3 linked regions of the Kluyveromyces lactis genome follow. The protein of the gene in region 1 interacts with the protein of each later gene in a pairwise test. Links are inferred from orthologs where the notes say so. Each region holds a gene or a part of one and is shown in the gene's direction. Other genes may lie near its edges.

Evidence for each region.
Region 2: the proteins of KAR9 (region 1) and KLLA0_D15565g interact in a two-hybrid assay, tested with the Saccharomyces cerevisiae proteins (2 studies listed by BioGRID). The link is inferred for Kluyveromyces lactis from reciprocal best matches to the Saccharomyces cerevisiae genes KAR9 and CLB5.
Region 3: the proteins of KAR9 (region 1) and STU2 interact in a two-hybrid assay, tested with the Saccharomyces cerevisiae proteins (2 studies listed by BioGRID). The link is inferred for Kluyveromyces lactis from reciprocal best matches to the Saccharomyces cerevisiae genes KAR9 and STU2.

What each region holds. Positions count from the first base shown.
Region 1 is NC_006040.1:67,185-70,807, reverse strand, and holds KAR9 (Kar9p), read left to right. Parts: upstream 1-1,357; coding exon 1,358-3,064; downstream 3,065-3,623. Other genes in the region: ATP-binding cassette permease MDL2, read left to right, coding at 1-969; KLLA0_D00704g (uncharacterized protein), read right to left, coding at 3,254-3,623. UniProt on the Saccharomyces cerevisiae protein: Involved in karyogamy. Component of a cortical adaptor complex that orients cytoplasmic microtubules. It may be involved in anchoring cytoplasmic microtubules to the cell cortex.
Region 2 is NC_006040.1:1,315,564-1,318,597, reverse strand, and holds KLLA0_D15565g (uncharacterized protein), read left to right. Parts: upstream 1-1,246; coding exon 1,247-2,473; downstream 2,474-3,034. Other genes in the region: KLLA0_D15576g (uncharacterized protein), read right to left, coding at 1-211. UniProt on the Saccharomyces cerevisiae protein: Required for efficient progression through S phase and possibly for the normal progression through meiosis. Interacts with CDC28.
Region 3 is NC_006041.1:1,460,439-1,464,628, reverse strand, and holds STU2 (Stu2p), read left to right. Parts: upstream 1-1,281; coding exon 1,282-3,780; downstream 3,781-4,190. Other genes in the region: SER2 (phosphoserine phosphatase), read left to right, coding at 1-330; thioredoxin TRX2, read right to left, coding at 398-712.

The sequences.
Region 1 (3,623 bases):
TTAAATGGTAAAGTTGAGTTTCAGCATGTTTCTTTCAGTTACCCAACAAGAAAAACAAATCAAATCTTTAAGGATCTCAACTTTACAATAGAGCCAGGTTCTAATGTATGTATTGTAGGTCCATCAGGAAGAGGGAAATCTACAATTGCCTCGTTATTGTTGAGGTACTACAATCCAACATCCGGTAAAATCTTGGTTGATGGCCAAGATATTACAAAATTAAGTTCGAAATCCCTTAGAAGACAACTTGGTGTGGTACAACAAGAGCCAATATTAATGTCTGGTACTATAAGAGAGAATATTACATATGGTGTCTCTAGGCAACCTTCAATGGAAGAAATCAGATCTGTAGCAAAAAAGTGCTTCTGTCATGCTTTCATATCTAAATTCCCTAATGGTTACGAAACTATCATTGGGCCTCGTGGTGCTTTGCTCAGTGGAGGACAGAAACAACGTATTGCTATCGCTAGAGCGTTATTAAATAAACCTAAAATTTTGATTCTCGACGAAGCTACATCTGCCCTAGACGTTGAAAGTGAGGGCGCTATCAACTACACTTTGGGGAGGTTAATGAAGAGCAAAGAATTAACTATTATCAGCATTGCTCATAGATTGAGCACAATCAGAAGATCCGAGAATGTTATTGTACTTGGCATCGATGGTTCAGTTGTGGAAATGGGTAAGTTCAAAGATCTTTACGCCAACCATGATAGTGCTTTACACAAATTATTGACAGAACCTTCAGAACAGCAGCATTCCCAGCACCAACAATACGCTCCACCTGCCATAACTCAAGAATCTGAGCCACAAACAGAAGAAAATGGCAAAGATGATTCTGGTGAAGATCAAAATTCTGACCACGAAGAAAACTCACAAGATCAGAACGAGAAGAGACTGCAAGAAGAAGTTATACATCAAGTTTTAGAAGATATCAGTCACGATCAAAAAACTTCAACGCTCAGGCCATGAGTAATTGAAGAAATTTCCCACCTTCCTTTCTTACACTGCATAGGTATCTTACAAGTGCACCAGAGTTGGTACTATGTATTATTAACATATAAATATACACATAAACAACATACAAGGTACCAATCAAACAAATATATTAATATTCATATAATTTCAGCTCTCCATGGAAGTCATCTAAGCATTAATCTTTTGATGTTGCAAGCTTCCTGACCTCTACGTGCCTTATCTACCAAGCAACTTTTCCCGTTACTTCAAATGAAATCATCAATAATTAAGATTAGTTAAAATGTAAACAAAGGCATGGGGTTACGAAACGGAAAAACAGTAGGCGATAGAGAAGCAGAGATCCATTGTCCACACTAGGTGTGCTTCAGCAAGCTTCTATACTATGGCAGAGGAGCTGAAAGGATTTCCTCATGAGAGACTATCTATCTCATTGAGGAGTAATTCACAGCAATATCAAGATATTCTTTTGTTTTTTGATGATTATCAGTTTGATTTGGATAGCACCAACCAGCACTTGTGTAGTCTGGCAGAATTACTGTTAAAGTCTCATACACTGTTGGCAGAGCTGTTTTCTGATGATGTGAGCGTTTCTCAACTCTTACCGTATTTTGATTGGATTCAAGAGGGAAGATCTGAATTTTATCAGCTCTTCAACGGGATAAAGACCATCGAAAAGGTGTTGCTGCATCTGATGGAAATCATCGAAGAGGAATTTGGGTGTAATGAAGATGAACTATTCCAGAAGGAGTTGACTGCACTTTTTGATTTATTAGAGGAGATATCAGATACATTAGTGTCCATAAAACCAATCATCTCATCATTAAAAAACCTGTTCGACACCGCCATAGAGTTCAACGAAATATTCAAAGATCATATGAACAGTCTAGATGAAGAGATAGAAAACAATTTGTCTAAATGCATTGAACTTCAAGAGCAAAACTTTGAATCTCCTGTAAGACATAATAAACCTACTTTCACTTTGGATCAATTGATTAAAACTTTGTCTTCAACAAATTCTCCTACCAAAGGACTTCAGATCCCTGCCTTTTCTCCTTCAGAGCAAAAGATTCATGAAAAGCTTACACAGTTGGAAGATTCTTCGGCACCTATAGATTTGTCACTAAAACATGTCCTTTCAGAAAGATTAGATAACTTCGAGACCCGTGATGTTGTCAATTTGGAATATCTCATGCGATTGCTGCGAAAGAAATACCAATATATATTGGATAAGTATGAACTACTACAAGTTGAACTCAGAGACCTAAAGCAAGCAATTGTTGATGAGAAATGGGTTCTCATATTTACAACTTTGAATGACGAGCTACGGATTATGCTGAAAGATGTGGAGAAACTGCTGCTGAAGGTAGGCAACCCTGATCTTTCGGAGCAGCTGAAAACAAAACTGCATGATCAATTGAGAAGCAAATCGTACACTATTGATAAGACCTTCGGTATAATATACAATGCTCTTGAAAGCTCGATATTGAATGAATCAATTGCAACCGTTACCAACGAACATGCGGAAAAGTGGCTACAATTAAATACAAAATTTGAACACTTACTGCCGGAACACCAAAATGAAAATGATCCAAATAAAACTATCACACAGCTTTCCAATGACATCTCCGAGCTTCGGCTCAACGATGCACCATCTGAGAAGCCAGGTTCAAACAGGTCTAGTATTGGGGCGATATTATTTAAGAAAATGAATATCAAACCTGTCTTGGTAAGAGAAGGAGATGAAAATGATTCAAACAGCGATAATGTGAAATGTGACCGCCACAGATATTCCAATCCATTTTTTGATCCTTGCCAAGCTACTAAATTAAGTCCAAAAAAGGTACTTAACTTTAACAAAGTACCTGCTCTTTCTTTTGAACAACAACTGTCCATTTTGGGAACACTTGAATCCCGAGCATATGATATTAACAGATTGAAACAGTACGGTAAACTCCCGACACGCATCCCCAGACTTCCTTTCCAGAGACAGAAAATCATTCCACATCGTACTATTTTATTCAATTTCGATGCCAACTGGGTAAAAAAGGATAATCACCAACTGAAATTTCCCGTATCCTATGTATCTTAGTGCCTTCCGGACTAGCTCCAGATAGTCCATTCCATTGTAACACTATAAATACAATAATCAGGATAAACTAACTTTGTTAATAGGTAATTATCTAGCTTACATAATAAACCATACAAAAGTAGCTACTGACAAAATGCCTGACGTAATTAACAGGAATTATTTCACTCCATTAAAAATACTAAAGGGAATTCAGTTAAGGCTATTCAATACTTGAACAGTTCTCTTTGCGGTTGAACTAGCCGATGCTGGATTGACACCCGTAACTAACCTACCATCAGCAATCGAAAAATCATCCCATGGACCAATTGGGGCCATGTACTTTGCATGATACTTCTTAGCGATATCTTCCACAGTATCTAACTTCTTTTGTTTTAGTATATCGGCAACACCTAGGATTTCTTCACCAATATCGGTAAAACCAGTAATAACTTTACCTTGAATCAACGGTTTACCAGTATCTTTATCAGTCAAACCATCAAAGATTGCCGGACCATGGCAAACAGCAGCCACAACACCATTATTAGCATATATATCAGAGGCTATTTTTTGTAAATTCTTG
Region 2 (3,034 bases), about 1.2 Mb from region 1:
TATTGGATTTCCCAGGTTGAATATTGTACTTGGCAGACATCACCGGGGACAAATCGTGTTTCCCGGAAGAAACTGCAACAAGAGCACCGTCTGCATCGACCATATGAGGCAAATCCTCGACCTTAGGAGCCTCATCGTATTTCTCACCTTCAACTGGACTCCCAGAAACGTATCTCTTAAATTTTTCCCACTTAGACTTGAACCCTTCCATATTCCTTGCGCTGCTTTTTATCTAGTTAATAGATAGTGTTCTTCCTAATAATCAGATGAATACAAAAGAAAATGATGTTATATCTTGGACAAAACCCCCCAAAAATCGGTTGTAACCTTACTTATATACCTACGGTAGGTTTCTCGTACTATATAATCTAACTATGGAACGGTGTACCTTTTGTCTCTTCGAGCCCTTTAATCTGATAAATCTCAATGGAGCCGTATGGCGATATCAGATTTTCATTATCTGTTCGTTCTAAGAAAGACCGACCGATAAGATAGAGGAATAGTAGCGAAAGACTGATAGAACTCGGCGAACGTCTGCCTTTTTTCCTTGGCTGTACTGGGCTGACTTTGTAAGCCGGTACGATATATGCCAGGCAAATCGCTCGAAGGAAGAGGAGTCAGCGATAATCGCTGTATGTCGCATACTAATGAGTCTCTCTCTCTCTCTCATCAGAAATAGAAAACGGGACTTTTTTCCCGTCTAAATCACGTGAAAATAAATTGACAGTTTCCATTTTGTCCGGAATACTTTGGTCACGTGATTGAGATCCGGACAACGCGAAGACGCGAAACAATTTTTTTTCAAATTTCGTTTTTGGCGTGCTGACGCGTCAGCACTTTGCGAAGATGCGAATCTACAAAGCGAAATTGGAAAGTCCTTGAACCAAGACAGGCCTGTTAGAGCTTCCAAAGGAACTTCACGAATTTTATGACCTGCTGTTAGTCTATGAAAGCGTGTATAACAGATTTTGTTTGTTTCCACTGGATATGCACGGTCGATTACTCGGTGTTTTTCTGTATATTGTATCTTTCTCGTTGTTTTAGGGCCAAGAAAGAACAATAAGAGAAAGAGACGCGATTTGTGTGTTGTCTGTCAGGTCCAAGATTTTGGTGACATTGGCTGGCTGGGTTACCGCTAACAGGTTAAGTTCTTCTCTATCCTGTTGAAACTGTTTTCATATATATATATACAGCATATATGTTTACCACATACTAGGAGACAGAACGATAGAGTATAGATTTTAAGATGAGACCGAGAACCAGGAGCAGCTGGAGTGTTAGTGACGCAGAAGCAATGGAGAAGTCTTCACACCAAAGGAAACGTGTCGCGCTATCGGAGCAGCCACTCCACGATAATAAACTGAAATCTTCAGTCGGGTCATTGAGGAATTCACAAGTCGATGAAGGTAAAAATAAGATATATGGGAACTCTTCACAGACAACGAGTTCAGTGTCGTTGAAAAGACAGATATACCGTGATGATGATGATGAGGAACAAAAATCAGATGTGCGTTCAGATGATGATATTCTAGAGCCCAGGAAAAGTCATAAGAGACTGAAATGCGAGAGCTTAGAAAGACGTAGAGAAGAATTGGACTCCCAGGATAAAGAAGATGTAACGATGTGTTATGATTATTCGGATGATATTTTTGACCATCTTTACACGAGACAGTTTGAAACTACGCCAAAGATCAATTATTTGAAGGATAAAAATTACGAATTTTACTTGAGACCGACGATGAGATCGATCCTCGTTGATTGGATTATAGAGGTTCATTGTAAGTTTCAACTGTTACCGGAAACGTTGTACCTTTCGATAAACCTCATGGATAGATATCTTTCTTTTAACAAAGTTACATTACCAAAGTTACAATTAATTGCAATCACGTCTTTATTGATTGCCGCCAAGTTTGAGGAGGTGAATCTTCCTAAGCTATCAAATTACTCATATATCACAGATAATGCTTACAGCAACGATGAAATCAAACAGGCCGAGTTTGTCATTCTGAATAAACTGGAATACAACATCGGATGGCCTAACCCATTAAATTTTCTACGAAGAATATCCAGATGTGATGAGTACGATTCAATCACTAGAACTTTGGGCAAGTGTTTAATTGGATATATGATTTCGTGCCCACACTTCATCGACGTAGTGCCTTCTAAGATTGCGTCCGTGGCAATGTTCACTGCACAAAGAATCGTGCATGAAGACTTCCAATGGGACGAATTATGGGATTATTATTCATGCTTTTCATTCAAAGATAATGAGATAGAGTTAAAAGAGTTATCACAAATTCTGATAAACGATATTGCTAAGCCAACAACACAACTTAATGCATTAATTCACAAATACAAAAAAATTGGCACATGGAACAAAATCCATGATTGGTGTTTGAAGCACTGTACTTATGAAGAGCTGAACCCTAGCGACTACGCTTCATCATCACCTGCATCTTCCACTTCACTATGATAATTTTTCACTTCCGAGTTCTTTTGGATCTTAAGCTCATTCACATCCCCGAGCTACTTTTGCGGTCTCGCATTCCCATCATTTCAAGATGTTCTTACTTCATAATCATATCCATTGCATTTTATAAATAATTAATCGAGTAATCAACTAATAATAATAGTTAAAAAATGACTTATTCATTAATTGAAATTAGTTCAGAAACATGCTAAGTGTACATAAGAAGTAAATTATTTGAAGTGGTTATACTTTAAAGGGTAAGGGGTGGGTATACCTATGATTGCAACATAATGCTGATACTGATGATCCTGAGAGAACTCTTTCTGAGTTTTTGAGCAGGTGAAATATTAAAAGTGAATTGAAGTAAAGGGTTCACTAAGGTCTAAATCCTCATTTTATCTGTTGAATGGAAAACACATTGACACATGTGGGTTGGCTAGATTAATTATTACAATGTTTGTTTTCTATTATGATTAGTATTAGTATAGTTATCGTTTTTTTTTTTTTTTGGGTTTAGTATGCTTTTAGAATGCCTCCCTTTAACGCGCAACATGTACTATTCCA
Region 3 (4,190 bases), on another chromosome or scaffold:
GCTAATACTCTGGGTGTGGAAGTGTCGGATGACGGTACTGAACAATTGAACGGTGAAGCACTCGGCGATATAGTTGACGGAGTGCGCAAGGCCAAGACGTTGGTGGCTCTTGCAGAACAGTACAATTCTCCGATCGAATCCACCGTCATGGTCGGAGATGGTGGTAATGATTTGAACGCAATGGCCGCAGCTGGGTTCGGAATCGCATGGAACGCCAAGCCAAAGGTCCAAGAACAAGCCCCATGTAAGTTAAACAGTGATACAATGATAGACGTCCTATACATCCTGGGGCACACTGAGAAGGAGATAGAAACCATGATCAAAGAATAGAAATGTAAAGAATTTATTCTGATATATATATAGTAAAATGTATATTATAAGCAGTGTACAAAAAATTTTACACGTTAGCAGCAATGGTTTGCTTGATAGCAGCCAAGTTAGCACCTAGGACTCTAGAAATTTCCTTACCGGACTTGAAGAAAACTAGGGTTGGCATAGCACTGACATCGTTGTTCTTTGCAACATCTGGCAACTCATCAACGTCAACCTTCAAGAAGGTAGCTTTACCCTCGTATTCCTTAGCGAACTTTTCCAACATTGGGGCAATCATCTTGCATGGACCACACCAGGTGGCAAAGAAGTCGACGACGACCAACTTGTCGTCAGTCAAAGCCTTTTCGAATTCGGATGCGGAAGTAAGTTGAGCGACCATTATATATGAAATTGGAGGGGATAGTAAAGATAAATTGTACCTTATTTGATGAGGATAGAAAGTTATCAGATTATCCGATAATCAATCGAAGAGACAACTAAATAACCTTTAAATGTATCTTACTTCCTTTATATAATAATGTTGGTTAAATATCGAGTTTTTGACAAATTTTTGCTTGCTAATCAGGAATCGAGAGCTGGAATCAGCTAGAACCCGTCCATTTGTAAGCAGGTGGAAGCGCCAACACTCGTGTAACGGTGTTTTGAATGGCTTGAATTGACTGTATAATGTTCAACCAACACGCATCAGCGCCGATTGAGTGATTGGAGGGGCGTGTACGTGTATAATAGATCCTACCCTCCCATTATTCAGGTTTCTGCAAACCCGATCCAAAGCATATCAACAAAGTCACGTGATATATCACATGACTTGAAATCAATCGTTTCTGTAAACAAAAACAATCAAAATCAACCAGTAAACAAACAAACAGACGAGACAACATGAATAAAATAGACGGTCAGTGAGTCAACACAGGGTGCTGCCAGCTGTATCGCGTGTGTATATCTCCCATGGATAACGCTACGGATGATTCGGCGTCTTTTCAGACTCTGTCACTAGATGAGAGACTTGTTCATAAGCTTTGGAAGGCAAGACAGCATGGATATAATGAGCTAGAAAGCACATTCAATAAACTGTCCGTTGCTAGAGTTGCAGAGAGTGGCGTTAATAAGTATTGGAAGAAACCTGAGATTTTCACGGGGTACGTATTGGATTCCAATGTTGTTGCACAAGAATCTGCCGTTAAGGCCTTGTACAGTTTGTTGAAATTTATGATCGACGTACCCCAGATCAGAGATTTGTGTCAGCCGGGTCAATTGGTTCAGGGCTGGGTTCCAGCTCTGGTGGAGAAAGGTATGACTTCCTCGAAATCAGCGACGAAAGAGGCTTCATTGGCCTGCGTTTCGCTTGTCGTGTCATTGGATGATAATATCGTAAATGCAATCAATTGTCTGACGCCGATTTGGACCAAAAAATTACCGAAGCTGTTGACTGCAGCGTTAATGGTTCATGTAAAGTTGATAGAGCAGTTTGGGTTCGTGAACGTTTCTCAACAGGAGAAGATGCAATCGTTACAGGGTCTAGTGGAAGTTTTACCTAAACTTTGCTCACATGCGGATAAATCTGTGAGGAATGAGTCAATGCAGTTGATTTTACAACTATATACATGGTTTAATAAACCTGTACTTCAAGAGCTTCTATTGGGGAAGTTGAAGCCCATACAACAGAAGGACCTGGATAAACTGTTTGAATCGTACCAGGGCACTATACCGCCTTCTTCAACACCGTCTCAGTTTATATGGGCAGTCCCGGCTCAGAGTGATAACAATTCAACTGATTTACCCTTGGATCATGACGGAGATCTAGCAATGGCAGGTAATAACGGCCAGTCTGCCGCTGCTCTGGATAACCAATCAATCGATCCATATGATATGTTCCCCGTACAAACTATATTAGATAAGCTACCGAATAATTTCTATCAGAGTTTGGCGTCTAGCAAATGGAAGGATAGAGTGGAAGCTTTAGAAGAGTTCCACGATCAGACTTTAACCAAGGTTAAAAAATTGTCAGCATCAAATGAAGATCATTCTGAAATCATTCACAAATTTTGCTCGACTATCACTTCCGATGCAAACCTACAAGCAGTACAAATATCTACCAGCAGTTTAGATATACTAATATCCGCATTAAGATCAGAATATAACCCATTCGCATTGGAAACTTTAAACGCTCTCCTAACTAGATCAAAGGAGAAAAAACCAAACGTCGCAGATTCTATTTTCAATGCTCTCCTGAACCTTTCAAAGTACTATAAATTAGAGCTATGTCTCGAGTCTGTGTTACAACACATGAAGAACAAAGTACCACAGGTAAAAATTGTATGCTCGAAATTTCTTTTCGAGTTGCTATCCAATTGGACACCGACTGAAACTCTTCATAGAACGTCGGTATTCTCCAATTTGCCAGCGATACTCAATTCTTTGCAGCCCATTGTAAACGACAATCAACAGGCAACAAGAAATGAGGGTTTCAAGTGTATTGCTATCTTAATTAAGATATTCGATGAAAGAGAACTATCAACATATTTGGACAAGCTCGATAACTTGAAAAGGAAGAAGATCCTTGAACTTGTTGATAAAGTGGAGATCAAGGCGGCAACGGTTCCACCTCCACACCAAACCCAACCGCAAACCCAATTAAGATCAGCGGCACCAGTAGTACGATCCCAACCCTTGTCTTCAACGATCCCTTCAAAACGACTGGCCACTTCTCCATTGAAACCGGCACGTAACTCTGCCTTGAATGGCAACACGAAGTCGTCCAGGTTGACTTCAAGGTCTCTAACTACTCATCAAATGATGAACCATACGGATCTGCCTTCCTCAACACAACCCAAATCTAATACCAGTTCCAACACAAGCCTCTCTGGCAATTTCACACCACAGACAAACATATCCAACAGAATGTCACATTTAAACGATGAAGTGAACAAATTAAGACAAGAGAGACAAGAATGGCTAAGGGAGCGCAACGATCTCTTATCCAACTTAAATCAATCCAATTTACAACTTTCCAAAGTAAATAAACTCTTGAACGAGTCTGAGACATACGTTTCCAATTTACAAAGGCAATTGCAGGATTCGAAGGATCAATTGAACGCTAAGAATTTAAAGATCAAGGAGTTAGAGAGTAAACTGACGGGCGGTACTTCCGATACCATGTCAACAGATTCACCCATATCCTCGTCCATTAGCAGAGGAAGATTAACAGCAACTACCTTATCACCTCTGAGATCTACTAAAAATGCTACGACTCCTCAAAGGGTCAGATCGCCTAGTGAAAGTAGCGACGATCTACCTAGACGTGTCAATTCCCTAAACTTGAACAACCATATGTTGCAAGAGGAATCGTGGAAACGAGCTGCAGAAGTTACGAACCAATTAAAGGCACGTATAGAAAGAATGAGGGCCAAATCCAGGTCCGGTTTCAACAATCTCGGCGTAGATTAAGAGAATCCACTATGTACAAAATAGATTCCTGTATAAACGACGAATTGAGCGCAAACTCCGACATGACAACCAGAGAGGGAAGCTTCCAGTCACATGACCTAGAATGCATATATTGTCCCGGGTAATATATAGCAACGTCTTCTCTCTGCTTATCTCTGGTGCAGCCTCCTAGTTTTTCCGAAAAGTTTCTTTTTCTCCAAAATTCTCCGAAAATCGTCAGATATTCCAGATATGCAACTAGAGGGAAGATACACCGTTATATGCATTTCAAAATGCAAATAACGGCAACTAAGCCCATCACTCTCAGCACGTTTCTTTTCCATGCACGTCGTTCCCACTGATGATTCCTCGGATCAGTTGATGCGATTTTTAACAACAGCCAAAGCAGACATCCTCCAAGCCGTATCCCA